Linked DNA regions of Lonchura striata. The protein of the gene in region 3 purifies or fractionates together with the protein of the main gene of each other region. This does not show direct contact. Links are inferred from orthologs where the notes say so. Each region holds a gene or a part of one and is shown on either strand. Other genes may lie near its edges.

Evidence for each region.
Region 1: the proteins of CDK1 (region 3) and CDKN1B purify together in Homo sapiens (affinity purification with mass spectrometry; 8 studies listed by BioGRID and IntAct, counting the BioPlex papers as one, with this or other methods). This does not show direct contact. The link is inferred for Lonchura striata from reciprocal best matches to the Homo sapiens genes CDK1 and CDKN1B.
Region 2: the proteins of CDK1 (region 3) and CCND1 purify together in Homo sapiens (affinity purification with mass spectrometry; 4 studies listed by BioGRID and IntAct, counting the BioPlex papers as one, with this or other methods). This does not show direct contact. The link is inferred for Lonchura striata from reciprocal best matches to the Homo sapiens genes CDK1 and CCND1.
Region 4: the proteins of CDK1 (region 3) and CCNF purify together in Homo sapiens (affinity purification with mass spectrometry; 3 studies listed by BioGRID, with this or other methods). This does not show direct contact. The link is inferred for Lonchura striata from reciprocal best matches to the Homo sapiens genes CDK1 and CCNF.

The regions. Positions count from the first base shown.
Region 1 is NC_134607.1:10,525,120-10,532,844, forward strand, and holds the start of CDKN1B (cyclin-dependent kinase inhibitor 1B), read left to right. Parts: upstream 1-4,706; 5' UTR 4,707-5,148; coding exon 5,149-5,623; intron 5,624-6,166; coding exon 6,167-6,288; 3' UTR 6,289-6,297; intron 6,298-7,532; 3' UTR 7,533-7,725. UniProt on the Homo sapiens protein: Important regulator of cell cycle progression. Inhibits the kinase activity of CDK2 bound to cyclin A, but has little inhibitory activity on CDK2 bound to SPDYA. Involved in G1 arrest. Potent inhibitor of cyclin E- and cyclin A-CDK2 complexes.
Region 2 is NC_134608.1:55,237,853-55,245,011, reverse strand, and holds the start of CCND1 (G1/S-specific cyclin-D1), read left to right. Parts: upstream 1-4,154; 5' UTR 4,155-4,342; coding exon 4,343-4,540; intron 4,541-6,211; coding exon 6,212-6,427; intron 6,428-6,810; coding exon 6,811-6,970; intron 6,971-7,159. UniProt on the Homo sapiens protein: Regulatory component of the cyclin D1-CDK4 (DC) complex that phosphorylates and inhibits members of the retinoblastoma (RB) protein family including RB1 and regulates the cell-cycle during G(1)/S transition.
Region 3 is NC_134609.1:3,788,052-3,794,938, reverse strand, and holds the start of CDK1 (cyclin-dependent kinase 1), read left to right. Parts: upstream 1-3,887; 5' UTR 3,888-3,946; intron 3,947-4,632; 5' UTR 4,633-4,646; coding exon 4,647-4,683; intron 4,684-6,100; coding exon 6,101-6,257; intron 6,258-6,887. UniProt on the Homo sapiens protein: Plays a key role in the control of the eukaryotic cell cycle by modulating the centrosome cycle as well as mitotic onset; promotes G2-M transition via association with multiple interphase cyclins.
Region 4 is NC_134618.1:2,545,252-2,552,598, forward strand, and holds the start of CCNF (cyclin-F), read left to right. Parts: upstream 1-4,347; 5' UTR 4,348-4,400; coding exon 4,401-4,413; intron 4,414-5,836; coding exon 5,837-5,991; intron 5,992-6,407; coding exon 6,408-6,514; intron 6,515-7,227; coding exon 7,228-7,295; intron 7,296-7,347. UniProt on the Homo sapiens protein: Substrate recognition component of a SCF (SKP1-CUL1-F-box protein) E3 ubiquitin-protein ligase complex which mediates the ubiquitination and subsequent proteasomal degradation of target proteins.

The DNA.
Region 1 (7,725 bases), on a different chromosome or scaffold from region 3:
TGGCTTCACCTGTGCTTCAGGGGCAGTTCAAGCTTGCTCCTATTTTGCACGTCAAACAAAATGAAAAACAAAAATTAAATTGTCTGAGCCAGTCTTCCCTGAGACAAAATCAGGGTATTTCAGAAGGACTCCTTCTTTAGCAAGTCAGGGGGAGTTGGTGACAAGCAGAGAGCTGCAGAAAGCTCTCTCTTTGAAGAATGAGATCTCTCTTTGGAATGAATACTTTCAGTGCTAGTAATTTAACCTGTATCTTCTGCAGACATAACTGTGTAACCTACCCTATCGTTATAGCACAGAAGAGGCATTTCTGACACAGCACCTGACTTTAAAAACAAATCCCATTAAGGACACCCTCAAATCCCCCTAAGGACAACCCAAATCCCATTAAGGACACTCCCAAGCTGTACCTGCAGGAACACCACCACAAGGACTCAAAATCCCCTGGGCTGGTCCTGGCATCTGAGCCCACCCAAGGCTGCTGCAGGTGTTGGCAGGTCCGGGACCCCTGGGCACCCCTGGCCCCACCTGCCAAGAGGGGAGCGGGAGCAGAGCCCGCAGAAGTGCCAGCAGCAGGGATGGGAATGGGACTTGCCCAGGGACAGCACTGGGGACGCTGCCAACAGCAAGGTCAGGTCCTGGCGCTGGCCTGATCTCTGTCCTTAGGCTCCCTCTAGAGTTTACAGCAAATGAGCAGAAGGTCTCAAATGCCACTTGAACAGGAGGGTAGTGTTTCCTTGCCCCCCTAGGGAGTGCTCTGCTCCTGGTCACTGCTGGATCATGTCCCAGAGCCTTTGTACACTGAAGTGGTTCCTTCCTTCCTGACAGTCTCTGCTGCTGAACCTCACCGGGTCCTAATCCTGCCTAGAAGGAAAGGGCTCCTGTTAAGTGAATATTATATGGTGAATACTTGGGGCCTGCACCCCAAATCTCATGGCAGGCTCACCCCACATCTCCTGAAGGAATCAGCACTTGGTGTAAACCTGGAGAGGCGGGGAAGTAGCTGTGGCTTAGTAATAGCTGAGGTGGGTTAGGAGCAAACCTCCAGATGGGTCATGCAATATCTCTGCTTTTTTCATCCTCGACTCTGGAGGACACATCCTGGTGGAGGAGCTCAGGTATGATTCCCAATTTTCCCCCTATTTGCAAGGGAATATATAAAATCCCAAGCAACCTAGATACTTTGTGTGTGCAGTTTGGATGGGCTTTGCTGGATCACGGGACAGCTTTATGAAGTGTTGGGGAAGGCGGGTGGCCAAAAAGAAGACGGGAGGCTTGCCTAAGCGATTCTGGTGGAAAGAGAAACAGCGAGCAGCTCTGCCAGTGGAAAAACCCAAACAAGAGCGAGGAGAGGGGTAGTGGGAAGAGAGGGGATAGGGTGTACAGAGCCTGTTAGAACAGCCACCCAGACCTTCCTACAAACACTCCTCCCTCCTCCCTGCTTCACTCCTCCAAGTTTCGTGCTGTTGTTTGGTTTCCTTTTTTTCTCTAATGCTCTCCTCCGGTCTTTGACTGGCTGAACCGGCCCCGGAGGGGGCAGAGCCGGCTGTGGAGGCTGGAGCTCTGCGGGAGGCTCAGCCCTGGCCCCCGTCCCCACCCCGCACCGCCTCCCCCGCAGCCCCACTGCTGTACCCCTCTTTAACAAGACGATGGCGCTCTGATCTTTCCACAGCTTCACTCCGGGACTTTCGAGTATATTTTTTCCTGTATTTTTTTTTTCCACGTTTCACTGCTACTACGGGCGGGCGCCTGCCTCTGTCCCGATTTGCTGCAGCCATTGGAGGTGCTGACTGTAAACAAAACACTTTAGATCATGGCAAGGTCGCTGCAGACACAGCGTTCTTTTTTATTTTTTCTTTTTTTTTTTTTTTTCGGTTTTTGTATTTTTTTGTTTGTTTTTGTTTGTTTTTTGTTTTTTGGGTTTTTTTTTTTTTTTCTTTCCTCCTCTGCAGCCGCAGCGATTTAAGGTGGATATCCGAGCTCGCATGGAAGAGGTGGGGGGACGAGCCGCGAGAGCCGAAAGAACGGCGGGAACCAACCCCGATCCCAGAGCACGGCCGCCGATACTCCGGGGATGCGGATGCTCCCGCCACGGGGGAGAGACTCTGACTTTTTTTTTTTTTTTTCCTCCTTAATTTTACCCCCTTTCTTGTTGATTTGTCCCAGCGCGACCCTAACGTTTCCGGCGGCACGGGCTGGGGGTTGTGCTGTCCCCAGAAAGACGCGCAGCTACCGCAGCTTCGGGGGTACACCCTCTCCCCTTTCCCTCTCCCCAGTCCCTCTGACAGCGAGGCAGGGTGATAGAGGAGAAGGGACAGAGGGATAAACCGAGGGGCAGACCATTTCTCATTCATTTTCTCCGTTGCTTCCATCAACGGCTTAAATTATTCGCGCCCCTCTTCTCTCCCCCCGCCCCACCCCCCCCCTCCGCCCCTTTGGATTTAATTATTCGTGCTCAATATACTTGTACATCATCCAGGGACTCAGTTTCAGGCCCTTGTGCTAAAGAAAATATAAACAGAACAACAACAACAACAACAAAACCCAGAAGGTTTTTGTCCTACAGTGACTTTTTTTTTTTTATTATTTTATTTTTTTTTTCCAAAGGCTTCAGATAAATCAGTTCTCTCTGTTGCACTGCTGTCATGTTTCTGCTGCTTTACTCGGGTACAGAGTCTTTTCCACTATTTGGAAACCCATACTCCCCACATTTTTTTTCTTTTTCCTAGTTTGTGTTTATACTCTGGTACAACTGTCATAATCCTACAGTCAAGAGGGCTGCCTTTCCCTTGTGGATTAGGGAGACAAGCAGAGACTCCCAGAGAGTGGAGAATGGGAACCCCTCACCTAAGGAATCTCAGGTGGGACACTCAGTAGGTTACCAGCAGGGAAGCCCCCATCGACAGGATGAGCCCTAGGCATCCTTGGACACTTTCTGCAGATCACTTAGTCACAACTTTCTTGTGTGGATCAACAAAACAAGCTCAGTGTCCCTACACCTGACAGAGAAAATGAAGCTTGAAATGGAGTGTTCTTGCTGTTGACAATGGAAGTCAAAGACAGGAAAACCTAGAGAAATGAAGATGAAATCCTGCAAATACAGCAGATGCAGGCCCACTTTTTTCCAGCTGATGGAGTTTTATCATGGACTTGCAACTTGAAAAATAATCTCAGGTCCTGCAGACATGTGAATATTAGCTATAATTTTTTACAAGTGAATTGCTGAAACTTGTAATTTCTGAGAGCAGTTAAAAACAACTTCCAAGTATTAAAATCCCCAGCATATAAATAAAAATAATGTGGCTAATAATGTATTTCAACCTTGTGGTTTTTAAACTAATCTAATTTGTTTTGTTTTGGTTTTTTTTTTTTTTTTTTTTTTTTTTTTTTTTTTTGCCTGTACACATAATTTTTTTGAACTTGGGTCTGATGGTACTCTGCTGAGTGGTGTGAGCATAAGCTGGAGGCCTGGAGGAGGACTGATGATGGCCAGCAAAGTGCTGGCCTGGGTTTGAGCACCGTGTGAAGTCCACTGTTGTGTCCTCTCTTCAATGTGTCCTCCTGCTGTGTCCTTTCTCCCATGTGTCCTCCTGCTGTGTCCTCTCTCCAGTGTGTAAAATCTCCACATTTTCAAGGCCAAACCTGCTGACTCTCATCTCAACCAGTTAAACCAAATTATATAGACCCCTGCCCTGTTGAGATACTTGTGTATCCCCCTCACCCTCCCACAGTGAAGTTTGGATAGATTTGCTCTGCTTGCAAGAGACATGTCCAGATGGATTGGTGTGAAGAGCCTTCAGGGCCTGCCAAAGATTCAGTCACCAGATCTGGACACCTGGAAATGTCACAACCTTTAGTGCCTGAGAGATCCTGCAGTGTCACACAACACTCTGGGGGCCTTCCCTGACTGGTGAGTGAAGATGGCTGTGGAAAAGGGCTGGAGAAAAGGGGGCCAGAGAGGAGTGCACAATTGCTCTTATGTCCACTACACCTGCTCTTAACTATACGAGGAAATTGCTTAGAAAATCCCTGGCTATGACTTTTTGCTCATCTGATCTTTTGATCACACAAACAGGACAAACCCCAATGCTATATTTTTTTTCTTTCCCTGAGTAGCTGACATCTGAAATCCCGGCAGATGTTATTTTAGAGACATTTCTTAATCTAGTCCTCTCTCTGCCGAGAGGGCAGGAGATGATCGCCTTGACACTAGGAGCCATCAGCCCATCTCCGCAGGCAGTGCGCTCAGGATGCTGCGGATCAGGGTGCTGGTCCCCGCGGCATGCCGTGGGGTGGTCAACCTGCCCACTAGCCCCGAGCTTGCCCCCAGCCCCCGACCTCATCGGGGACGTGTCGCCAGAGCCCAGCCCGGCCAAACCAGCGCGGTGAGCCTCTGCTGTCACTGCTCTGACTCAAAACCAGCCGTCACTATTCCTCAGGCATTCGGGCCAGCAGCGGAATGGGGTGCGTGTTTTTGTGGGGTGGCACAAATCCCGTCGGGTTTTGCGGGCTTTACAGAGGGATAAGAACAGGTTCGACAGTGTCGTCCCACCCCTCTCGTTTTCCCTTCGCTCCCAGCTCTCCCCGTCCCACCTTTAGAGCCGGCGGCGGCGGCGGGGCAGGACCGGGAGGACGGGGCGGTGCCCGCCGCTGTAACCAATGGCTCAGCCGGGCTGTTTAAATAGACTCGTCCTGTCAATCATTTTCTTCTTCGTCAGCCTCCCTTCAATCGCCATATTGGGCAACCAAGAAAAGGGCTCGTCTCTTGTTTTTTTCCGTCTCGCTTTTACTACGCGGCGGCGGTGCGATCGGCAGGGGCATCATCGGCACCAGCGCCATCGCCATCGGCGGTGGGCCGGCACCGGGGGGGCAGCGCTGAGCTCCGCTCCTCACCCGCCCGGGGCTTCCCGGCGGCGGCAGCGGCGGCTCTCGGGGCTCATCCCCGGGCCGGTGCTTATGCAAGGGCGCCTCCTCGCCCCTTCTCCGCGGACCGAAGGCGAGCGGGGCCGAGGCAGGGCCGCAGCGCGGGGCAGCGCGGAGCGGAGGCGCGGAACGGCGTCGCCGGGCGCCGGGAAATAAAGGGCGGCGGAGGCCGCGGAGAGAGAGCAGCGAGAACAACAACCGCCGCCTGGAGCTACAGCGTGCGGGGAGATGTCAAACGTCCGCATTTCTAATGGGAGCCCTACCCTGGAGCGCATGGAGGCCAGGCAGTCGGAGTACCCGAAGCCGTCAGCGTGCCGGAACCTCTTCGGGCCGGTGAACCACGAAGAGCTCAACAGGGAATTTAAGAAACACCTGCAGGAGATGGAGGAGATGTACCAGAGGAAGTGGAATTTCGATTTCCAGAATCACAGGCCGCTGGAAGGCAGGTACGAGTGGCAAGCCGTGGAGAAGGGGAGCTCGCCCGACTTCTACTTCAGACCCCCCCGGCTACGGAAAGCCGTCTGCAAGTCCGCCGGCCGCCAGAGCTTGGATGTAAACGGGAATTGCCAAACCGTGGTTTTTGTCGGTTCTCAGGGAATCTCAGAGGACACTCACTGTGTAGCTCAAAAGACTGATGTTTCAGAAAATCAGACGGACTTAGCAGAGCAGTGCACTGCCCAGAGGAAAAGACCCGCAGCCGATGGTAACGTACCCCACGGCTCTGCCCCGCGTCCCACTCGTGTCAGCGCCGGCGCTCCAGCCCTTCCGCCCCTGCCACGCGTGGCACCGGCTCGGTGTGCCCACCACCCCCGCCCCTTTCCCCCTAAAAAAGCCCGGGTAGTGTTGGCAGTCCCGGGGGTCCCGCCTAGAGTGGGAGCCGGTAGATGATTTGCAAGGACGAGCCCTTAGACGCGGGTCAGATTCCCCAACCCCTCGCTGTTCCACTGCGGGGACCCGGGCTCCTGCCCAGGTGGGAGGAGGTTCACAGCGTTCAGCAAAAGACGAATATGGATTTTAGCCGAAAAGAGGGAACTTGGGTCTCCTGCCTAGGGAGAAGCCCATCTCCCCACCCCCTGTTCGTCTCACGCAGCTGATACCTGACATGGGGATCTGGGAATATTCCCCCTCGGCTCCATCTATCCCCCCCTGGATGCCAAGCAAACATCTGGAAGGAAAATATTTTAATATCTTTCTTCCCCCCCCCCCCCCCCCCCCGACCCCTTCGTTTTTAATTTTCACCTCCTAGATTCCTCTCCTCAAAATAAAAGAGCCAATACAACAGAAGAAGAGGTTTCAGAAGACTCTCCCAGTGCCAATTCAGTGGAGCAAACACCCAAGAAATCAAGCCCGGGAAGACATCAAACGTAAAGCGTTTAGGTCAGTTCCCTTTAGGATTTGGCATTAGGATGCAAGTAAGGGAAAGAAGGAGTGACCGAGTGTCTATCCCGCATCTCTAAAGGGGTGGGGAGGGGGCTTCGAGCCCCTGTGGGCTCGCCGAGGGGTGTTTTCTTCGAGGAAGGGTGGCTTACCCCGAGCACTCGGCAGTGGGTGTGTGTTGGAGGGTGGGGAGTGGGAGGTGCAGGGCTTGAAAAGAACAAAACAAGGAGCGAAGCCCAGCCTGGGTTCGGCAGCGTCAGGGGGCTGGGGCAGGGGCTGCGGTGGTACTGCCCCTGCCTTCCTGCGGGATGGGCACCGGGGCCAAGGAGGGCCCTTTCCCAAGGACCGTGCGGATGCAGGGGTGGAGTTGGAAGCGCGGCTGGTGCATGCTGTCAGATGCCAGCGGATTTCGGGGGACTTCCCCTGTTCCCTGCTCCTGGGGCGTTTTCACCTCCAGTGTCAGCCTTACCGTCGCATGTCGCGGCCACCTCGCACTGCGGGAGAAATAAGTCAAGAAGTTTGGTTTAAGGGGAATCCGGGCACTTTCTCAAAATCCGAGCAATGCAAGGTTGTTGTGTTTGGTATGGGGTTCCCGCCCCCCCCCTCCTCCCCCCCCCCCCCCCCCCCCCCGCCCGTTTTTCTTGTGTTGTTTTGGTTTGGTTTTAGAGGCTGGCAGGGAGAAGGGAGAGAAGGGAGTGGGTTAATGGGAGGCTGGGTTGTGCAGGTTTTTTTTTTTTTTTTTTCTTTCCCCTACCCCCTTTTTGTTTTGAGGCGAGGGCTGGTGCGGGGAGAGTTGGTAAAAGTTGCGCTGGCGGTTTGGGAGCCGAGGTTAGGAATGAGGTTTACAATAAAACGATTTGTGATTGTGCAGAGAGATACTAAGCTGTAAAGCAGAAGTTGCAACAAATTAGTCCCGCTGGGGTGAGCCGTGGCCGAGCGCGGCCGTGCGAATGCCGCCACTCCCGCCCGCTTTTAGGGGTGGGGGCTCGGGAGGGGTCCCTCCGCGTTCCCCGCCGAGGGATGGAGGCTCGGGGCCGCTGGCAGCGGTGCGAGAGCACGGCCGGCGCGGGGGGGCGGCAGGGGCCCCGCCCGGGCCGGGCCCGCCGCCCTGGGGATGCGGTGTCGGTTTGAACCGGTTGCACCGCGGATCGCGTTTCTTGTCGATGTTTTCTAATCGCTTTCCCCGGTCTTTTTATTCTTTTTTTTTTTTTTTTCCTTCATTATTCCCGTTGCAGAACAGAGGATATGCGTCCTCGTTCGTCGGGTGCGGCGGGTGGCGATGAAGAGAGAAAGATGAAGAGTTGTAGTGGGAAAGGAAAAAAATACATATCGCCGATCTTCGGGACATGGAGGTCCTGTACAAGCACTGAAAAAAAACAAAACAAAACAAAAACAACCAGCAACAAAACAACAGCAACAAAAAGCAAA
Region 2 (7,159 bases), on a different chromosome or scaffold from region 3:
TTTTTACTGAAGGTTCATAGAATGCATACTTGTCCTTCAGAGAGGTGCCAATCCACTTTACAACGAAGGAGCAGAGTGGCTGAGTGTCTCAGAATGGTCTGAGGGTTGCAAACATCTTGCAGGTGACCACAGCAACACCCCAGCTCCCAGAGTCTTGCCAACAACAGCACCTCACTTTAACTCAACAGAAAGGATGAGAGACCATCCTTTCTGAGAGCATTTCTGCAGTGGATGTGATCCATACTGATTTACTGACATTTATGGGGCATTACGCCCAAAATCGATACAAAACATCTCCCTGTGTTTTTGTTGCCATTTCTTTTTTGTTTAGTTGTTTTTTAAAGAAAATAATAACATTGTGCTTCAAAACCTTCTGAATAAGCAATTCAACAACACATTTCCAATGGTATTTATTTATGTGGCTTTTGGATGACAAAGAGCGAGTGCCATTTTGGGGAATAGAGAAAATGTTTCTTTATGTTGTAAATAAAATGTAAATGCTCTATGTGGCCAAGATGTGCTTTTTCCTACCTCACATATCCATATCAAACCCCAGTGTCTGTGCTGGCCATTTTCATGCTGGTATATTACCAAAACATACTGTCAGCTGAGCAAAACAGAAACTGTACAAAACCAAAATATTCTTCACTAAAACACTTTCACTTTAAGGATGCTGATGCTTAAATACATTGTTTATTCACCTTGTTACTGTCTGCCAGGCTTCCTCTGGTACCTCTCCCTGCACTGGCTCACTTCTGGCATGGCCTAACAGGAAGTTTTCCTCCATGAAGAAATGAAACCTTGCTCCCTGCTTCTTTTTTCCCCTGCACTTAGGCTTTTTGTGTTTTCTTACCCCCAGGATAAACTTGGGCTGAATTCCATTAGTTCTGGGTCTGGCCCTGCTTTTTTGGTCCCATCAGTAACAGCTCATCATCTTGGGACCCCCCAGCCATCCCTACCTTCCCTCCCACCCAGGCTCATGCCTCTCCCCAGCTTGGTGATGGTTCCCCTACAGAAACCCTCTGTGAGCTTTGCTCCATCAAATTCCTCATTTCACCAGCCCCCCACGGCTGCCCTGGGGTTTTGGGCACCGCAGGTGAATGCCTCCAGGTGGGTTTGGGATGTCTCAGAGAGACCCCACGCCCCCCTTGGGCAGCTGTTCCAGAGCTCTGCCACCCTCCGTGTGTCCCTGCCCTTGAGGTGACAATCCTTGTGCTTTGTGTTTACGGCCACTGCTCCTCATCCCGTTGCTGGGCACCCACTGAAGAGTCTGACACCTTCCTCTCGGCACCCCTTGGAGGTTTTTATAAGCATTGATGAGATGCCCTCGCAGTGTTCCCCAGCTCCCTCAGTCTCTCCTCTCAGGAGAGCTGCTCCACACCTGTCATCGTCTGCCTGACCCGCTCCAGCAGCTCCTTCTCTTCCTTGTCCAGAGGAGTCCGGAGCAGGAGTGGGTTTTTTTCTGGGGTGGGTGTGTGGGGGGGAAGACGTTCTCTTCCGCTGCGCTGCTCTTCGCGACATTACGGCGAGCACCGGCACGCCAGGAATGCGCGCTCCCGCGGCGGGGCCGCGCGGCGCGGCGGCGCGCAGCGGCGGGGGCGGGATGACATCATGAGAAAGTGGCGGCCCGGCCTCGGCGCCGCCGGCAGCGGGCGGGCGCCGCGGGGAGGGGAGCGCCGGGCAGGCAGCGAGCGGGAGCGAGGGAGGGAGAGCGGGCAGGAAGGAAGCGCCGTCGGAAGCCCCCGGGGGCGAGAGTGGCGGAAGCGGCCGCAGCACGCATCCCGCATCCAAGGATGGGCGGCTGGGGAGCGCACCCCGAGGCTCCGGTGCGGGCAAGGCGGCGCGGTCTCGGTGGCTCGGGGACCGCCCGCTGCCGCCGTCGGAGCGAGCGGGGGCGGCCCGGCGGCGGCTCCGGCGCTGCCACCCGCCCCGTCCCCTTTGTGTCGGCGGGACCGGGCGAGCCCCGGCCTAGATCTGCCCGTCCCGCCCGGTAACAGCCCCGCGCCGCCATTGGCTCCCGCGCCGACGCTTCCTGCGGCCGCGCCGCCCCGCGGGGGCTCCCCGGGCCCCGCGCCAGCCCCGCCCGCCGCCGGCACCGCCCGCCCGCCGCGCGGCCCCGCGTCCCGCCGCGCTGCTTTTATGAATGGAGCGGCGGCCGCGTGCTCCGAGCGGGGACAGGCACCTCGGAGAGCCCGCTCCGACCGGCGGCCACCGGCAGGATGGCGAGGCTGCGCCGCGCAGAGAGAGGGACCCGCGTGGCTCGGCGGCGCGGCCGGGAGCAAATGTTCGGAAGGAAAGAGCTGGCACGGTCCAATGGAATGCGGCCGGCTGCCCCAAGGGCTCGCCAAACCAGCTGCTCACCAGAAAGGTGTTGGGGGTGCAGGGTTGTTAATTAAATAGGGTCCCCCCGGATGTGCATCCAATTCCCACCCGACAGCGCGGGGTCGTGCGTGCTTCTTCATTTGATATTAAAACCTTTCCGGCCAGCTAAACTTGTGGAAACAGAAGTGGGCGTCCTGTGCGTGAAGCACAATAGACAGGCGGAGGGACAGGGGACAGCTTCCTCGCTGAGGGACCCTCCGGAGTCTCCCCATGGGCTGTGGCGTGCAAGGGGAACTGAGAGCGCGGGGCCTCCGCCATCCTCCTCCTCCTCCTGACAGACGGAGACAAAATGGAGACAAATGGTCAAGCAAACGAGTAAATGAGAAAATGGGCAGACGGTCCATGCAAAGAGATTACATAAACACACAACTGTGCAACAACATGCCCTGTGATCTTTGGCACTGCTCTCCCTGCAGGTCACGCAGGAGAGATGCTGGGTCCTCCATGGCTAGCCACCATCTGCAGTTTCTGCCGTCAGCGTTGTACCCCGGGCAGGTATTTGACACCCGGGTGATGCCAAAGCATCAAGGCTGAGGTTAATCCGTGCACCCCAATTTACAGCCTTCCTGCTTCTCCCTATGCCACTTTGGGGCAGGACAAGTCACTTCTCCCATGCATCAGCCTCACCTCCAGTGCTCCCCAGTGGGCCTCGAGTTGTGCTGTCAACTCCTGGGAAAGTGAGGCTTTCAGAGATGCCCTTTTTTAACAAACAGTGGGAAGCAGAGCGTCCTCAGGTACAGCAGGCTCGGCCGGGCAGCGGGCGTTATTTATGGTGGGGCCCCTCCACGTGTGGACAGAATGTCCTGTAGACACGGATGAGGCCCCTGCAGGCTCTGGCGGCTGCCAGCACCTCCCTCCCAGCCCACCAGCTCATCTCCCCAGAGGTGCTGGAGGGAGCCCTGGCCTCCATTTTGCTGCTCCGCTGGGATATTTTCCCTGGGTGGAGGTGAACAGTGGGGGTGAGGTGCGAGCGTGGCCTTCCCCGGTGTGCTCTGCCACCGGCTGCACCTCGGATTAGTTCTCGCCCCGTCCCCTGCCATCTCCATGCCCCTCTGGGAAGGCAAAACCTTTAAAGTGAAAGGAAAGACCTTAAAAAAAAAAAAAAAAAAAAAAAAAAAAAAAGAGGTTGTAAAATAACCATCTTGGCAGAGGGGTGGACACCTCAATTGTTTTAAAAAATTTGGTGTGCAGTAAAACCATCCTGGCTGGGAAAATACAGGACTGAGGAAATAGGAGAAAGGCTTTCCCTTGGAATCAGCTACAAAGAGTAGGCATTCAGGTTGGGAGTGCGCCTTTTTAAAGGACAGCGTGGCAGCTACATGCCAGTGACAGCACGATTAATAATTAATAATAATAATAATAATAATAATAATAATAATAATAATGATAGCAAACAGCGAGGCGCTGGTTCTGCTCCACTCCCCTCCCTGGCGCCCCTGTAAAATAATACGAAGTCTCCTTGCATTTCTCTCCCTGGTGTCTGTGTGTGGCCTTAGCCCCATTCATCATTTGGCTCCCAGTGCAAAACTCGCTCCATTTTTAAAATTATGCATGATCCACTGAAGAGACAATTTGGGTTTCCCCCACTTCTCCCTTGCCCTTGAAGAAAGCGAGCCCTTGTCTCATTTGCATTAAAACCCTGCTCTCTATAAGTTAAGCAAAGGGGAAGGACTTGAAGCCTATGGGATGGCTTTAGGGCTCTGCCCCTTGCTTTTGGCTCTCTCTCTCTTTCTCATTCTCTCTCGTGCTTTGATCTCTGCTTAACAACAGTAACGTCACAGGGACTACACCAGGAGAGTTTTGTTGGAAGTTAGAAAGTTTTGCAGCCTCCAGAGGGCTGTAGCGGCAGTAGCAGAAGCAGCATCCAAGGGACTCCTGGAAGGGGAAGAGAGAGAGCGAGCGAGCGAGCGACTGACTCAGTCCTGCTGCAGAGAACTGACTCGAGGCGACGAAGGCAGACATGGAACATCAGCTGCTGTGCTGCGAGGTGGAGACCATCCGACGAGCCTACCTGGATGCCAGCCTCCTCAATGACAGGGTGCTGCAGACAATGCTGAAGGCGGAGGAGACCTGCTCGCCCTCCGTCTCCTACTTCAAGTGCGTGCAGAAAGAAATCTTGCCATATATGCGGAAAATAGTTGCCACTTGGATGCTGGAGGTTTGTATCTTTTCGGGAACTTTTCCTTGCAAGCTCCGGCACCGAAACGAATTAATCCGGGGAGCCGCTGCCCCGTCGCCTGCCCCCACTCCCTTTCCCCGGGGTCGCTTCCCCGGCGCGGCACACGTTGCATGCCCTCGTGGAACGAGGCGGCGGTGGCCGGCTCGGTGTCCCCGCTGCCGCAGCCGGTCCCGGCGCCGAGGGGCGGCGGACGAGCCCTCCCCCCCCACACACCCCGGTGCCCCCGGGAGTCGGGGGGTGCCCGGCAGCCTTTCCGGCCGTCGGGGATCGGCGGTGCCAGCGAGGGGAGCCGGGGCAGGGCCGGCTCGGGGCTGCCCTGGCCCGGCGGGGAGCGGCTCCGGCCCGGCCGCCGATCCCCGGCCGCGCGGGGCCGCCGCCAGCCCCTGCCAGCTCGTGTTTTCTGGGGATTTTATTTTAAATTAATATCCCTGTACACGTATGCAAGCGGCTGCCCGTGCCAGTATTATGCGCCATCTTTGTTCTTTTTATTTGCAAAGAAAAGTGTTTATTAATCGGGAGAAAAACGAAGAAAGTCCCGGGGAGCAGAGCCAAGGGTGTGTGTGTGGCGGGGGGGAGCGGGGGAAGGCGCCGGGGGAGGAAGGTCGGGGGCCGGGGGACCCCGCTGGGGCTGCGGGCAGGGGGACCGGCTGGAGGGGCTCCTGCGCTTCTGGGGGGAGTTGCAGGGTGAAAGTTCCTTTGTTCAACGCGAAGAGAGGCTGGAGCTGCGGTCACCCCTCAAAGGCACGCTTGTGCTGCGGCAGCGATCGGCAAGGTCGCCTGGGAAAAGCCAGTTTGAAAGGGCCTCGTCCCTGGCGGGACACGTCCGAGGGGGCTCCCAGAGGGAGCCCCAGGAGCTGGGCTACATTTTCATGCCTTTTCGGAAGCCCTGGGTGCCCGTGATGTATTTTTAATTAATTTTTGAAACCGCAGCGCCCTGCCTTGCTCTGGGGAAATGTCGCGCCGGGCTGTGCTGCAGGGCGAGAGAGGGAGGCGGTGGATTTCACTTCGGGGGATCCCCCTGTAGCCCCCCAGCAGGACCAGAGCCACGGGCCTCGGTAAAGGACCCCCGCTGCTGCATTTTCAGCCTTTTTTGAGAGCTCGAATTATTTTTTAAATATTTTTAAATATTTTTTGAAAAGATGACGTCTGGGGAAATGAGGCTGGACGCCACCTTTGTGTCTCGACCGGAGAGGGGAATCGGGAGCACAACGGCAAATTAGATGAAAAAATAAAAGCGAAATTAATAAATCCGGGGCCCAGCCCGGATCTGCACCCCGTTACCAACCACGGGGGTTAGCGTTTTCCCCCGATTTCCGTCTTCTTCCCTTTTTAAAAATTTGTTCTTAAGGGCTGGAAAACTGGGCGCAGACCTCTTCTTCGATAACCCCCCTCCCCTTTTGCCATGAATCACCTGCGGGTTTCTAACGCAACATTTCCCCCCACTTTGTCACTCGTGACTTTCATTTTCTTTGATGACGCTACTTTCCCCATATTTATGTATTTTTTTCCCAAATGCGTTTCCCCCTTGTCTCCTTCAACCTTGCCCTGCAAAGCCTGGTGGTGAGGGAGGAGGGAGGGCGAGAGCAGCGGGACAAGCCTGGCTTTCGCCTCAGTTAAATTATTCTTCAACGATCTCTCTCCTTCTTGCAGGTTTGCGAGGAGCAGAAGTGCGAAGAGGAAGTTTTCCCCTTGGCTATGAATTATTTGGACAGATTTTTGTCGTTCGAACCCCTCAAGAAAAGCCGATTGCAATTGCTCGGAGCTACCTGCATGTTTGTGGCTTCAAAAATGAAGGAAACTATTCCTCTCACCGCAGAAAAACTGTGCATTTATACAGATAACTCCATTAGACCCGACGAATTACTGGTAATTTCACGTTCGATCACTTCAGGAATTTAAAAAAAAAAAAAATCGAAATAAATATTAAAATATAGATATACAGAGCTACAGGGAAAGGAAAAAAAAAAAAAAAAACCAAAAAACAAAAACCAAACGGCGCGTTCGGAAGCTGGCGGCAGGCAGGGATGGGGCCGGGATGGGATCGGGAGCAGCACCGGGACCCCCCCGGCCCGCGGCGCTGGGCGGCCCGCGGGCTCCCCCTGCCGGGCCCGGCGGGCGCTGCCCCGGCCCGGTGCCGGCGCGGGGGGACCCGCGCACCCCGCCCCGGCAGCGGGACAGCGCTCTAATCACGCTCCCCCCACTTCTTCCTCTTCTCTCCTTCCCCCTTCCCGTCCCTCTTCTCTTTGCAGCAAATGGAGCTGCTGCTGGTGAATAAGCTGAAATGGAATCTGGCTGCAATGACCCCCCACGATTTCATTGAACATTTTCTTACTAAAATGCCTCTGGCAGAGGACACCAAGCAGATCATCCGTAAACATGCTCAGACTTTTGTGGCTCTGTGCGCTACAGGTATGAGCCCTGCACGTTGCGCAAAGCGCGTTGCTCCCCGACATGCGCCCACCCCCCGGCTTGTAAAGCTTCCCGTAGCTGTTGGTCTCAGGCGCGCTCGCAGAGCTGCGGGGAGGTAGTTTAAGCCCCGATTATTGCCCCTTGTTTGCAGAAGGTGGATTACTTTGCCAGAGGTAAGTTTTTCTTTTC
Region 3 (6,887 bases):
CATTAGTATTCACAAACCAGTTGACCTTTTTAATCCCATCATTATGTAAAAGACAGAAAACACTTTTTCTCTTCCTTACAGTGAAGTTATTGCTGAGGAGAATATAATTAATATATGGAAGACAAGATGATATTGACTCTTGCAGCTGCCCTCTGCCCAGCAGAGAAGGAGCTGTTCAGAGCATTACACTGGGTTCTCAGCCGTGAATACAACTGTAATGCCATAATCCCAGCTCGGCATTGTCGGCCTGATCCCGTGTGCCTTGCACAAACAGCGCTGCACTTCAGGCAAAGGGAAGTCTGGGATGCCAAAGAGGTTTTCATATATGTGCCCCTTTGTCATTTATATAAATAAAATGTAATTAACATGGTGGTGTCACGATTCTTTTGCTGTTTGCCTTGGAGTTTTCCCTCAGCTCTGCATTTCACCGTGTTTTGCTGTGAAGGGGAGCAGCAGTCCTAGGGATTCCCACATGCATGCGTGACTCAGTTTTCAGCAGGCTCACTGCTGCTGCTCCTTCAAGCAGAACAGTAAATCCCTTCAAACACAGAAGTCCCTGCAAACGTACTTGTACCGCTTGTCTCAAGCAGCATCATTAGCTCCTGCCATGTCCAAAGCAATGATCAACCGAGATAAGCACTACACAGACAACAAGAGGGAGGAAAACACAAGGTAAGTGTCAGACAGATGTTTGACAAGTTAATGCCGTGTCGAGTCTATACTTACATGCATTTGGCTCCTAAGCAAGGCAGCTCTAAGGGAGGGCCAGAGGCAGAGGGAAAGGCAGCCTCTGCTGCTGCTGGAGGAAACCAGCACACACAGCTGCACCCTCCACTGCTCTGAGGGGTTGGCATGGCCACCAGCACACCAACGTGGAGACCACAACAAAACAATGTCCCTGAGCTGCTTACCTGATTAAGCCAGCACAGCCTGGGCCCCGAGGCTGACACAAAGGCAGGAGCAGTGATTTCGGGTTTGAGTGCAACAGCTGTCAGAGGGATCTCAAAGCCATCCACCTTCCAGAACTTTCCTAAAGGTCTCAGAAAAGCCTAAACTTGTCATCCTAGGTGGTGACCAAGGGGATGACCAACGGCCTCAAAGAGATCACAGTGCTGTGTGCAGCTGGCTCATGGAGAAGTCCCCTCACATGTGAAACAAGTGGGGTTCCTTCACAAGAGAGCTGCTCTTTAACCAGCTTTCTTTCTGGTGCCTCCTGGTCTTTCCCACTCAGAGCCCATGACACAATGGGATGTATGGAAAAAGGCATATTCTCAAAGAGTTTGAAAATTCAGCGAGCACTCTGAGAATGAACAGTTAGTGCCCAGCTGGAAGGACACTAAGAAATTTATATTTCTAAAAAATAAGCTAAGAAATTCTTGTGTATATTTAAACTAAAGCTAGAAAAAAAGACCTCGCTTTCAAGAAAATTCAGATCAGTGTATTCAGTACTTTCAGACACAGTATATTTTATATAAAATCTCTCTATATTTTCATATAACTTATAATAATTTATAGTACTGTATGATTATTATACCACCAACAACCCCTGTAAATAACTAGGGTTACCATATGTCTGTGACTTCCGAGAAATGTTTTCTTTTCCTCTAAAGGGAAAGTTGGACTTTGGCAACCTACCTAACGTCCCTAGACAAGGATTGGTCCAGCAGCAGTAGCTCAGTCCTGTGCTGACAATAGAAAACAACTCCCCAGAGGTGCAGAGCCAGGCCTGAGGGATGTGTCCTACATTCTGTCTGAGCTCTGCAGCTGATCCATGGGCACTGCTGTGCCCACACTGCCCTGGCTGCTTTGGACTTGTTACACACACAGGGTAGAAATCTTCTGTCACTGTGCAGGGCAAAGCACATCAGGTTTTTTCCTACGAATTGCACAAGATTGCACAAGCCATGTTCCCGTATGGAATTTCCCAGATATACAAAAGCCTTGTTCTAAGCAGGTAAATCCCCAGCCAGTGGTGGGAATACAGGATTCAAGGTAAACAGAGAGCCGTGAGCATGCTCACCATATGCTGCAAAAATTCCCCAGGAGGGAGGGGAAAGTGGAGGGGTTTTACCCCTGAAACACACTCAGAGGGAGGAGTTGGACGGGCTGCCTCCTGCCTTTGCCACAGGGTAGGGATGAGAAGAAGGAAGTGTACCATAAATAGCCCTACTTCCTGGAATCACCATCCCAAAGAAATGCTTTAAGGGAGAAGCTGCACCTTTTTGTTTGCAGCGCCCTGCCCTGCTTACATTTCAGACAAGCAGCAAAGCCATCCTTCAAAAATGCTGTAAACCAGTGCAATGAAGTAATTTTAAAAGGCAGTAACATCAGCAGTGTGAAGAGGTGCCTGTGTCTCCCCCCTGCAGGGACTGTAGGTTTCCACAGAAGCTGTTGGTCCAGGACTGCCAGTGCTGATGATAAATTGGTGCTAGAGTGGGTCAGCAGCACCCCAGAATCCACAGTGGAGCTGTCCTGCAGGGGAAAGACTTGTAAAACTAGAAACACGTGAACTTGGCTAATCTATTTAGCATTTCAGTTTCTCAGTAAAAAAAATTGTTTGTAATATTTTCCCAGGCTTTTTGTTAAGTCGTATACTGTAGCACCACTTTCCTGGGTACCAGTGGAGGAAGGTTGCAGCTGGCAGAGTGCTCACTGAGCAAGGCCCACAGGTGCCTCTCCAATTACATCCCCAACCCTTCTTTCAGAAGCTGGGATAGCACAGCAACTAATCTTTCTTAATCTGGGAGGAGGGATGCAGAACTTTAACTTGCCTACAGACACACATCCCAGCTTCTGGGGAATTAAGTTACCCAATGACCTTTCATTAAGGCACACGCCTTAAAAACAGCTCCCAAGGCCACAGCAGCACTGCCCAGATCAGTGCCCATGCAACTAGAAATAATGAATTTATGGTCTGGCTGGCCATGGGATCCAAATCTAACAGACTTGATTAAAAGGAGAAACTGCAGCATCCAAATGTAACAGACTTGATTAAAAGGAGAAGCTGCAGCCAACACCTAGCCTGGTCCAAACATGATTATACTCCCCAGACTATGCCAACAAAGCCCAAAGTGTTATTCCAGAGGTACCCAGGGTCCGGTGAAGAGACATAAAGTTGGTCAAGAAACTGGAGCATCTCTCTGAGGAGGAAAGGCTAAAGCAGCTGGGGCTGTCCAACCTGGAGCAGAGACAGCGGAGAGAGAACATCATCCCTGTGTGTGCCCCAGGAGGGAACACCGTCCCTCTGTGTGTGTGTCCCAGGAGGGAACACCGTCCCTGTGTGTGTGTCCCAGGAGGGAACACCGTCCCTGGCTGCAGGGACCAGGCGCCGCTCCTTGGGAGCAGCAATGGCAGCAGAGGAATGGGCAGGGGCTAATGCCCAGGAGTGCCACGAGGCACAACCTGACTGTGCGGTGACCGAGCACTGGGGCAGCTTGCCCACAGGGAATGTGCAATCTTACTCGCTGGAGATATTCCTGAACCGTCAGGAGCCTGTGCCGTGTGCTCTGGGACGGCCCTGCATGAGCAGAGAGGTGTGACCAGGTGACCCACGAGTGTCCCTTGCAGCCTGACCCGTTCCGTGACTCTGGACCGTGAGCAGTCCCAGCGCCCCCTGTCACCGGCTCAGGGCTACGCGGACCCGCCCGGCCAGGCTGTCCTCACTCGCGCCGTCCGCGAACCACGGGGCGGTCCGGTGCCCTCTCACCTTGCCGTGCCCGGCCGCGCGGCATTTCTCCATCATTTCCCCCCGCTGAGGAGGCGAAAGCCGCCCTTTGAGCCTCGCTTTGGCGCGGAGCGCGCTGATTGGCCGCTTTGAACGGGCCCGGCGCGGCGCCATTGGCGGAGCGCGGCGAGCGGCCGGTTCGAATGCGCGCGGCCCCGCCCCCGGCCCGCGCGGCGCTGCGGACGTGCCTGTGCGGCGGCGGCGGGTGCGGCGGCTCCGCAGGTGAGGGGCGCGCGGCGGGGCCGTTGGCGCGGGCCGGGCCGGGCCGGGCGGTGCGCGCTGCCGCTGCCCAGCCCCGGGCGCAGCGCGGCCGCCCGGGCCTGCCCCGAGAGCCGGACCGGGAGCGGGGCAGCGCCTTGGGCCGCCGGGAGCGGGGCGGGGGCTGGGCTGCAGCGAGCGCGGCCGGCGGACGGAGCCGGCAGCCCCCGGGGCCGGAGGTAACTCGGCTCCGCTCGGTGTCCGCAGCCCCCCGAGCCGGAGCGGAGTGCCGGTCCCGCTGTCCGCGGCACGCCGGTGGCGCTCCGGGCCGGTGTCTCCTGGCGCGGCCAACACCCGGTGACACAGCGGCCATCCTGTCTGTTTCTAGCTTGTTCTTGAGCCAGTGGTTAGGTAAAAGCTAACCGCTTTTTTCAGTTTCCTGGAGGAGCTTTTTTCCAAGCTTTTAAATTTTTTTTTTTTCTCCTTGGAATCGTTGCCCACTCATACCTTGCGGTATAGTTTTTCTAGGTGGAATTCGGAATAAATATGCTCTGTGTTTTTGTTGATGAGAACAGTTAAGTGTTTTACATTGCAGCTAATTTTGTGAGGCACAACTCGCTTCTAAAGACTTGGCATAGGTTCAGTGACCTGTCTGTGCTCAGGACAGCAACTGTTCACCCTCATTATCTCTTTTTTCCTGTCCATTTCAGGGATAGCCACAACAATGGATGATTACACAAAAATAGAGAAGATTGGGGAAGGTAAGTATGGGGAGCAGTGAGCTTTTAAATGCTCCACAGTTTGAGCTATGAAGTGTCCCAGAACATCTGTGCACTCTGCCTGTTACAGGAAACACTGAGATTCAACCAAGTGGCTAAATAAGCTTGTAGCTTAGTTACTGTGGTACTTATCTATATCTGTAAAACCTTCCAGCCTGCCCTTTTTCGTAAAAGTGACATGGTCTTTGTAAAAACAGCTGATCAGTGCTGAAAAATATCGGCCTTCGTTTTGCTGGCTAATGCTGTAATATTAGTCATCTCCAAAGGGGAGAAGGGAGAAAAAGTATGTTCTGAGTCCTGAAACCAGCTTACAGTTTAGGAAGCTCCCCCATTTCTCTGAATGTGAACTTAGCAGCTGCCCCTGAAGTTGTGCAATGTGTTGTTTTGCTTGGAGCTGCTGGTAGGGAGTACTATTTTCTGGATTGTTCTGCTCTGATGATATATGGGCAGTGTGGGTGTCAAAGGAAAGCAAGATAGCAAAACTCTGTGGAGAAGTGAATTCTTAACATTTACTTCACATTGAGGTACTGAGAAGATGGCCTCAATGCAGGTGTTAGTCACAACCCCCCTGTTACTGGAAGTCCAGCCTGTGTTCCCTGTAGAAATCAGTGTGTTTTATAATACACAGTATAAGGCCTTATGTAGACTTGAAAATTTGAAGTACTATTGCCCACTCTGAGGCAACAGCATAAGGTGTGCTTGGATCTTGCAACAAAGCTTTGTATCCAAAGCCTTGTGCACAGATCTTTTTGAAATAAACTAATTTGGGCTTCATGTGAGGGATTAATGTTTCAAGAAGGGTAAAAAGAGAAGGCTTATGCTGTCTTGGTTTGAGGGTTCTACTTCTCTGAGCATTGATAATTAAGATGGATTGATTTGAGATTTACTCTTGGTTCCGATTTCAGCTTCTGCTGAGATCCACAGCACTAGCCTCTCCTGCACTGAGCATTGTGCCAGAGGTATTTCTACAGCTCACACCCATGGATGGCTGGATCTCAGACTGCAGAAGGAACACTACTTCCATGTGCAGCTAAACCTTTAGCATTTTAATATGATGTATCAATGGCAAAATCATAATCCTTTATAATAATCTTGCCTGGAAGTTAATCAACTTGAAACTCAAATAGTATCTGATTTTATAACTACATCTTCCAAATACTTGCCTTTCACACTTAGCCTTCTAAGTGCCCTGTCCTAACAAATGCTACACTTCATGGGTGGCATGCTTTAAACAAACAAAAATATTGCTCAGGTAAACTCCACAGCTAAGTAGTAGTTTGTAATTTAAACCAATACTCCATTTGTAAGGACTTTTCCTATGTTAGCAGCTCGTGTTTACAATATTATGTGTACCTGAAGCTGGTCCTTCCTGTATTTGTTTCACTGTCTTTTTGTTCAGGTACCTATGGTGTTGTGTATAAAGGTCGTCACAAAACCACAGGCCAAGTGGTTGCAATGAAGAAAATACGTCTAGAAAGTGAGGAGGAAGGTGTTCCAAGTACTGCTATCCGAGAAATTTCTTTATTAAAAGAGCTGAATCATCCCAATATAGTCTGGTATGCATATACTGGTATTTAGCTAAACTCTTGGAGGAGCACTAGGTTCCATCAGATCATAAATTATTTTCCCACTCATCTAGTAAGGTGAGAACCTCTCTGTTTAATGCAATGTCTGCTTTGCAGCAAATACTTTAAATTCCATGTTTGTGCCAGTTTTCTAATTAAGCCTTCCTCATGCTGCCTCTTTTCATTCTAGGAACCTAACAAATTTTTCTTAATTTAGAAATTTCTGTAAATTCAGAGAGATTATTGTGAGAATGGAGGCATGCTTTATGAAAACTGGCTGTAGCTGTTACTTCAGGCCATCTCAGAAGTTTATCACCTTGGAATAGGCCATTTGACTTAAGTGTTCTGATGTTCTCCCTGCTGTTCTGTAGCAAGAATTTAGATGTGTTTTGATGCTGTCATAGCTGGCACACCTGAGCTGTGAGTGAAATTTCCTTCAGTGACTGCTTGACATGTAAAAATGATTGCAGCCACTGTCTTCCCCCAATATACTTGCTTGCTCTTTGATGCAGCAAAATACTTGATCTTTAATGTGCCTTAAAATTGGCTAGGTTCCAGCCAGGTAGTGTCTCAATGTATGTATGTTTGGGTTTAGGAACCCTTACACTCCAATAAGGATGA
Region 4 (7,347 bases), on a different chromosome or scaffold from region 3:
GAGGCAGCAAGTGAGCAATGATGTGTGTAGCAATGAACATCTTTCTCACATGGATTTGTGAAAGTGGAGCTGATATTTCCTGGCTAAGAGATATTTTGAACAAATTTTCAGTTTTCCTAGGAGAATATTGCTGTTGGATGTCTTGCTTAGATTCCATGGTCTCAGGCCCTTGGATCTCTTCAGAAGAGGGATCAACACCTTGAGTGAAACTGGAGCTGGTAACAACTCTTGCCCCCAGAGAATCCCAGGTTTGGCAGAACCATGAGTAAGTGTTACACCTGTGTTGAGTTTTGCTTAATCACAGCAATCAAGGCAAATAAAATGTCTTTGTTGTATTTACCTTCAGTTCCAGAGCTAGCAGAAGAGAAGGAAATGAGGAGCCATTTGGATTGAGGAGAAACACAACACTCTGCAGGCTCTTCAGTGGAGGAAAAGGCATATATAGGAAATCATTGAATCCCAGAATGGTTTGGGTTGAAGGGACCTTAAAGCTCATCCCATTTCATGGGTAGGGACACCTTCCACTATCCCAGGTGGCCCCAAGATCTCTTCAAGCTGGCCTTGAACACTGCCAGGGATGGGGCAGCCACAGCTGCTCTGGGCAACCTGTGCCAGGGCCTCTGTGGGTCTCAGATTCAGTCAAAGAAAGAAATGGAGAGTTTCTAGCCAGGCAAAAAGCCTGGGAAAATGCTGGGAAAGAATGTAAGTAATTCTTTATCTCTCTTGTTTTTCACATTGTTTATAGTTAAGTTCTATCACTGTGTGTCAAGCACTCTGCACCAATGGTGGTGGGTTGTTTTCACTTCAGAACCAATGGATTTGGTCCTTGGGAAGCTCTGTATAAAAGAGCGGTGTATTTTGAATAAATCAGAGTATTACTCTCAACAGCCTTCTGAGTCAGAGTTCTTCATTCCCGTCCTGCCTCGACAGCAACAGGCCTCGGCACCCTCACAGGTGTGTGATAAGGACAGTGATAGGACAAGGCTTAAGAATGGCTTAAGGCCTTTCCCCGTTGTGAAAAGTCCCTCTCTAAACTGAAATCCAGCTCAAGACTTGGCAATACAGATTAAAACATGCACAAATCTGCCTTCTCCTCTGTAGTGACTGACTCTTCGATGTGTAGAGGCTTCCCAATTGGTGCAGGTGTGTTTAGGATGGCGTATCCCACCCAGCACTGGCTGCGCGTTGGTGAATGTGCAGGTCCCGCTCCTGCCCTGCCTGCCGCCTCTGAGCAGGGGTTACAAGGCACAGGCTCAGCGGAGTCAGATGGCTGTGTTCAGGTAACACAAGTCCCACTTCACACCCGTCAGCCTCTGCTCCGGCTTGTCTGTCAGTGATAAAACCACCTGGAGGTCCTGCCATCCTATTCAGGAAAGAACAAATCAGGCCAAGATGTACTGCTGCTGAGAATCTCACCTCCCACCTCCCAGTGCCCACTTAAGTTTTGGTTATTCCTGTCCCTCAAATATAACCCTCTCCATGCCCTGCCTTCCTCTTCTGCTGTCATGTTTGGGAAGAATGGGATCTACCTGAGATGACTCTGCACTGCAGATCACCCAAGGAGCTGGGATCTCTTGCTGGGATCTGAAATCTCTGTAGGCAGCTGATTATTCACATTTTGTTTGCTGGTTCAATTTATTTTTAGTTGACAGAAACAGCTGTGAGGGGGAGAAAAAATGAGGAACAGAAGCTGACAGCATGATTAACTTTTTAACTCAAAATTGCTTCTCAATTAAAAGAATCTAAATATTCCCTGTGCTCCTGGTGTCAGTTTGCCATGCTGGCAGCTGCTGCGCTCCCAGGAACATGACACAGTTTCACAGATGGAAGTGGAGGTGGGGCTGCACAGGAGAAAGACTGTCCACAGTTGCTCCTCCCTCAGGGGTCACCTCATGGGACTGGGGGACAGTGCAGGAGGTGAAAGGTCCAGCGTGGCCAGCGCTGTGGGGTGGGCTCAGAGAAGCCATCAGGCTACTCAAGCTCAGCCTCCCCAACCATAAAATGAGATCTCTATTGAGATTTCAAAGCTATTCCAACCCCTCGCAGGTGAAAGGGTGCGGGTGCAGAGAAGCATTCAGAAGTTCATGTTCTAACAATGAGAAGTGCTGGTAAAATCTTCAAACAAATCTCATACACGCTAGCATGAAGAAACCTCAGCTCTGCCGGGACTGATGATGTTTATTCAAGGTACAATGCTGGGAAAGTTTCCAGCCACCAGTAATTGGGGTGCAGACATTTCCTGTTCTATAAAACAAGAGCTCCTCTTCTCACTGCTTTTAAGTCTTATGAGTCTTAAAATTCAGAAAAGTCTTCAGCCGAACTAACTCGATATCTGCTTTTCCCTACATTGTTTTGTTTGCCTGCCAGTCTTTTCAATACACCTCCTTGTCCCACTCTGCCCTTTGCCTTTCCTCTGAATCCCGTACTGAGGTTTGAACTTCGATTCCCAATTGTTTGCCTAATTCCCCCTCACCCCCACAGAAGGCCAGGAACAGAGGTGTGCTGGGAAGGGATGGGGCAAGGTTGCAGCTCAGGACATCAGAAACAGACTCTGTCCAGGCAGACCCTGGCTCCTTCCCCCAGCAGGAATCATGGAATGGTTCAGGCTGTAAAAGACCACAGTGGATCAAATGGTCCCACCTCCCTGCTCAAGAAGGGTCCCATGACATAGGATCGTGTCCAGGTGGGTTTTGATTATCTCCACCGAGGGAGAGTCCACCCCCTCTCTGGGGAGTCTCTTTAGTGCTCAGTCACATGCACAGAAAAGTTCTTTCTCATGTTCAGGTGGAATATCCTGTACTTTACTTTTTGCCCATTGCCTTTTGTGCTGGACCCCCCTCTTATGCTCTGACCTCTCCCTGCAGACACTGACAGATATAGATGAGGGCCACTCTCAGCTGTGTGTCCTCTTGAGGCCGAACAGCCCCAGCTCCCTCAGCCTTTCCTCAGCAGGGAGATGCTCCAGTCCCTTTATCACCTTCCCTCTGTGGACCTGCTGGAGCAGGTCCATAGGAAGCAATGGAGATGCTGCAAGAGCTGGAACCCTCTTGCTCTGGAGCCAGGCTGGGAGAGCTGGGGGTGTTCAGCCTGGAGAAGGCTCCAGGGAGACCTTAGAGCCCCTTCCAGTATTTAAGGGGCCTTCAAGACAATTGGAGAGGTATCTGGGACACAGGCCTGGAAAGAGAGGACAAGAGGGGATGGCTTCACACTGATAAGGTTAGCTGATTAGGAAGAAATTCTTGGCTGTCAAGATGAGCCCTGGCACAGGCTGCCCAGAAAAGCTGTGGCCACCCCATCTCTCCAAGTGTTCAAGTCCAGTCTGGACAGGGGTTGGAACAACCTGAGATAGTGGAAGGCATCCCTGCCCATGGCAGGGAGTGGAACTGGATGGTTCTTCAGGTCCCTTTCATTCTATGGTTCTACACTCACTCCAGGATCTTCATGTCCATCCTGTCCTGAGGAGCCCAGAACTGGACACAGCATTCCAGATGAGCCTCAGCAGGGCTGAAGAGGTGGGCAGGACCCCATCCCGGACCTGCTGGCAGTGCCCTTCCCAGCCCGGGATCCCCCACCTTGGCCCCAGGACACAAGGCTGGTCAGGGACAGTTGTGACCCCCAGAGCCTTCTCTGCAGAGCTGCTGTCCGGCAGGTTACCCCAGGCCGGCCTGGGACACGCAACCACCTCCGCGATGCTTTAGCTCCAGCACGGACACCCTCAGGCGCTGCATGTTCAAGGTGGAAATCATTAGGCAGTAATAAGCCCCCACTGCTCCCCTCAACAGCTCCCTTGGCGAGGCAGCCTCGGCTAAGTGTAGGTGACTGTGAGCGACAAAGCACCAGCAGGGACGGCTGAGAGAGAAGAGACTCCTGGTCCCCGGGGGGAGCCGGGGCCGCCGCCGTGCCCCACAGCCGCCGCCGGCCCGGCGTAACGAGACTGCGGGAGCGCAGCGGCAGCCCCGTGAGGGAAGCGCCGCGGCCCCGCCCCACTGCACCGCCCCGCACGACAGGGGGCGCCGTGCCGCCCGCGCATGCGCTGCTGCGCCACAGGTTTGAACCGCCAACTGCCCCGATTCGAATTCGCATCCTCGCCGACCAATCACAGCGCGCGGGGCGGGAACGGCCCCGCCCCCATCGGCCTCCTGGCCAATGAGAGAGGCTGCTGTGTTTAAAACAAGTGCGCGCGGGCGGTGGGCGGGGTGGTGGCGCGGCGGGCGGGCCTGGCGGGCGGGGCTCCCGCCGCTCCCGGCGCCCACTGGGCGCGCCCGCGCCGCGAGCGGGGCGTGCCAGCCCCGCGGGCCCCGCCCGCCCGCGGCTCTCCGGTCCCTCCTACGCCCGGGCCGCTCTCTCCGAGCCGGGCAGGGCGCTGTGTCCGTCCGCGCGGTCCCCGCGGACACGCCACGATGAAGGCGGGCGGTGAGTGCGGCTCTGCCCGCGGCCTCCGCGGGTGCTGCTGTTTCCCGGGCCTTCCTGCGCTGAGGGGCGGCTCCAGAGCGGGTTCTGCCTGCCGGGCGCCTCCTGAGGGATCTGAGGGCGGGGGTTACCGGAATACTCCGAGCCTGGGCTAAAGGACCGGCAGTGGGCTTTGGAGCCGGGCCAACGGCTTCGCGCCCAAATTCAAACGCGGCGGGGGCGGCCCGGCCCGGTCCGGCCCGGCCCGGCCCGGCCCGGTGGGTGCTCGGGACCGGCTCTGCCCGTGCGGTGCTCCCCGCCGGGGCCGTGCCTCAGCCCTTCCGCGACCACGGCGTCCGTGGCTGTGCCTGGCGGCTGTGCCTAAGCGCGCCTGCCCTCAAAGCCAAGGGGTCAAGATGTGTATTGCGCGTGGGATAACATCTCGGGCGTCTGTGAGTTTGCAGCGTGCGCAGGACTGTGCAGGAAGCCCCATTCAAGAGGCAGAGAAAGTGTTTTTTTACTGTAAGAATGCCTGAACTATGGTAATTGATTGGCCAGAGCAATTGTGGGATCCACATCCTTGGAGTTGCTCAAACCTACCTGGATGTGGTCCTGCCCCACTTGGCGGGACAGCTGAACTGGGTGACACCCAGAGTTCTCTCTTGCAGCCTAAACCGCTCTGGTTTCGTGAAGCAACATATTTGAAATCAACCTGTGCCACATACTGTCTATAGAAATGGAGTTTTCACTGAGTTGCTCATCTACACCCTGGTCCCTATTTGGATGCTCATATAGGCTGAACTGGCATCCCAGTTTGGGTGTCTATTTCATTTTCATGGCAATAATACTGCTGAGGATAGTACATTTTGTATACATATATATGTGTGTTTGTGTGTATTTCTATAAATATTGCACTGAAATAATATTCCAGAAGATATAGGCAATGGGTCTTCCATTAGCACCCCTGGTAGCAACTGCTTGGAAAGATAGGCTTGAGTAGGTTTGGTTGTCTTCCTAATATCTCTGGTTGTGTTCCAGAGACTGCTGTCAGTTGAGAAGGAAAAGTTGGGGCATGGGGGAGGTAAATGCATTGACAGTAGTGTCAGCTAAACTATTTGTTACTACTGAACAGGGACAGCTGAACTGTTTGCTGCTACTAAACACGGTCACAGGAGTCAGGGCTCAGAGGGGCTCTTGGTGAAGAGCACTTGAGCTTGAGCCACCCCTTCTGAGTCTCTTGGCTTCATTAACCAATTTGAACAAGCCCTTTCTGCTCTGTGGCATAATGAGGTATGAGGTATATATCCCTGGTTAATGTGTTTGCAGTGTCCTGCACTGCAGTGAAGAGGTGCTCAAGTGAACACCTGTGTATATATGTAATACTATGTAGTACCTTTTTGCCTTTATGCTCTCACTAACTGAGGTGTCCTGTGTTTCTCTTTTCCAGTGGTTCACTGTAGATGTTCCAGATGTTTTTCTTTCCCTTCAAAGAGAAGGGTAATAAAACGGCCTCGAGTCCTGACATTCTTGAACCTCCCCGAGGATGTTCTGTTTCACATCCTGAAGGGCCTCCCTGCTGCAGACATCCTCTCAGTCAGAGCTGTAAGTGCTGCAGCTTCCCCTCTGCCAGGCTCAGTGCTCAGCTCTGCCTCCAGGAGCCTGGACTGCACACAGAACAGGCTTCTCATGTCACAGAGCCTGAAGAAACCCAAAGAGTGCCTGCAAGGTTGAGATTTTTGCTGTCCCAGGGACTTTCATTTCTCACTGCTCAAGTTAAGAGTAGCAGCAGTATTTGACTGCTTTTTGTTCCTTTTCTGTGGTAATTGTCCTGCCAGATTACTGTGGCTGAACAAATGGGTTTGGTTTGGCATCTCTTGCCTTACTGGTTATGAGGCAGGCAACAAGTTAAACATAACTTGTGACGAATTAGTTACTTCTCTAAAATAAGATTGCAAAGACCTGTTTTTCTGTTGTTCCTTTTATTTTGTTAATCATTATTTTGTGTTCCCTCCCTGCAGGTGCACTCACATCTTAAATACCTTGTGGATAATCATTCCAGTGTTTGGGCACATGCAAGTTTCCAAGACCTGTGGCCATCTCCAAACCATCTGAGGATGTTTGAAAGGTAAGTGTCAAACATCAAATTTGTCTGGCCTTTTAGAAGAGGACGTTTGAAGGAAGATTAACTGTTCTAATCAGTCCTCAGTGTAATTGGGGGATCTGAGTTGTACAAAGAGGGGAAATATTTGCTTTGGAAATGAAAAAACATGTGATTTGAGATCTAAGCTACAGCTGATCACTGCTGTCTCTTTAACCAGAGCAGGGCCTATTGCATATACCAAAGTTGTCTTCACAGGCATTAATATTCCAGATTGGAATGTAACACATTCCTTAAAACCACTTTCTGGTGCTCCCATGTGAATGAACGTGTGGGGTCAGGGGTTCTAGAAAATAATCCTGTTTCTAAGTCTAAGTTGGCTTGGTCACTTCTTGTGCAAACCAGTGTATTGAAAAACAAGTGAATTTCAGTAACAAAGTTTGAAACAGCAACAATAAATCTGCTTTAAAAATATGAGGAACATCTTTTTATCCATCTGTTTTGAAGGGGATCCATTGGTGTCAGAGATTTCTTTAACATGTTTAAATGCCATGATAATGGTTTTGCTTCTGAGTGTCACTTCTTTTTGAGGCAGACCAGTATGTGCACAACAGCTGGGGAGGGAGGAATACAAGGGCTTGATGTTTTGATGGATGTCCTTGAGGGCACAAGGACCAAACTGGAGATTCTGGTGCTAGGAAGGATTTTAACCTCCAGTGCTTTCTCTGTCTGCCCTTCAGGGCTGCTGAAAGTGGTAACTTTGAAGCTGCTGTGAAGTTGAGCTTGGCGTACCTGTACAATGAAGGCCGTAAGTGTGGGAGCTTGTCCTGGGGCTTTGGGGAACGTGGCATAGCACAAGG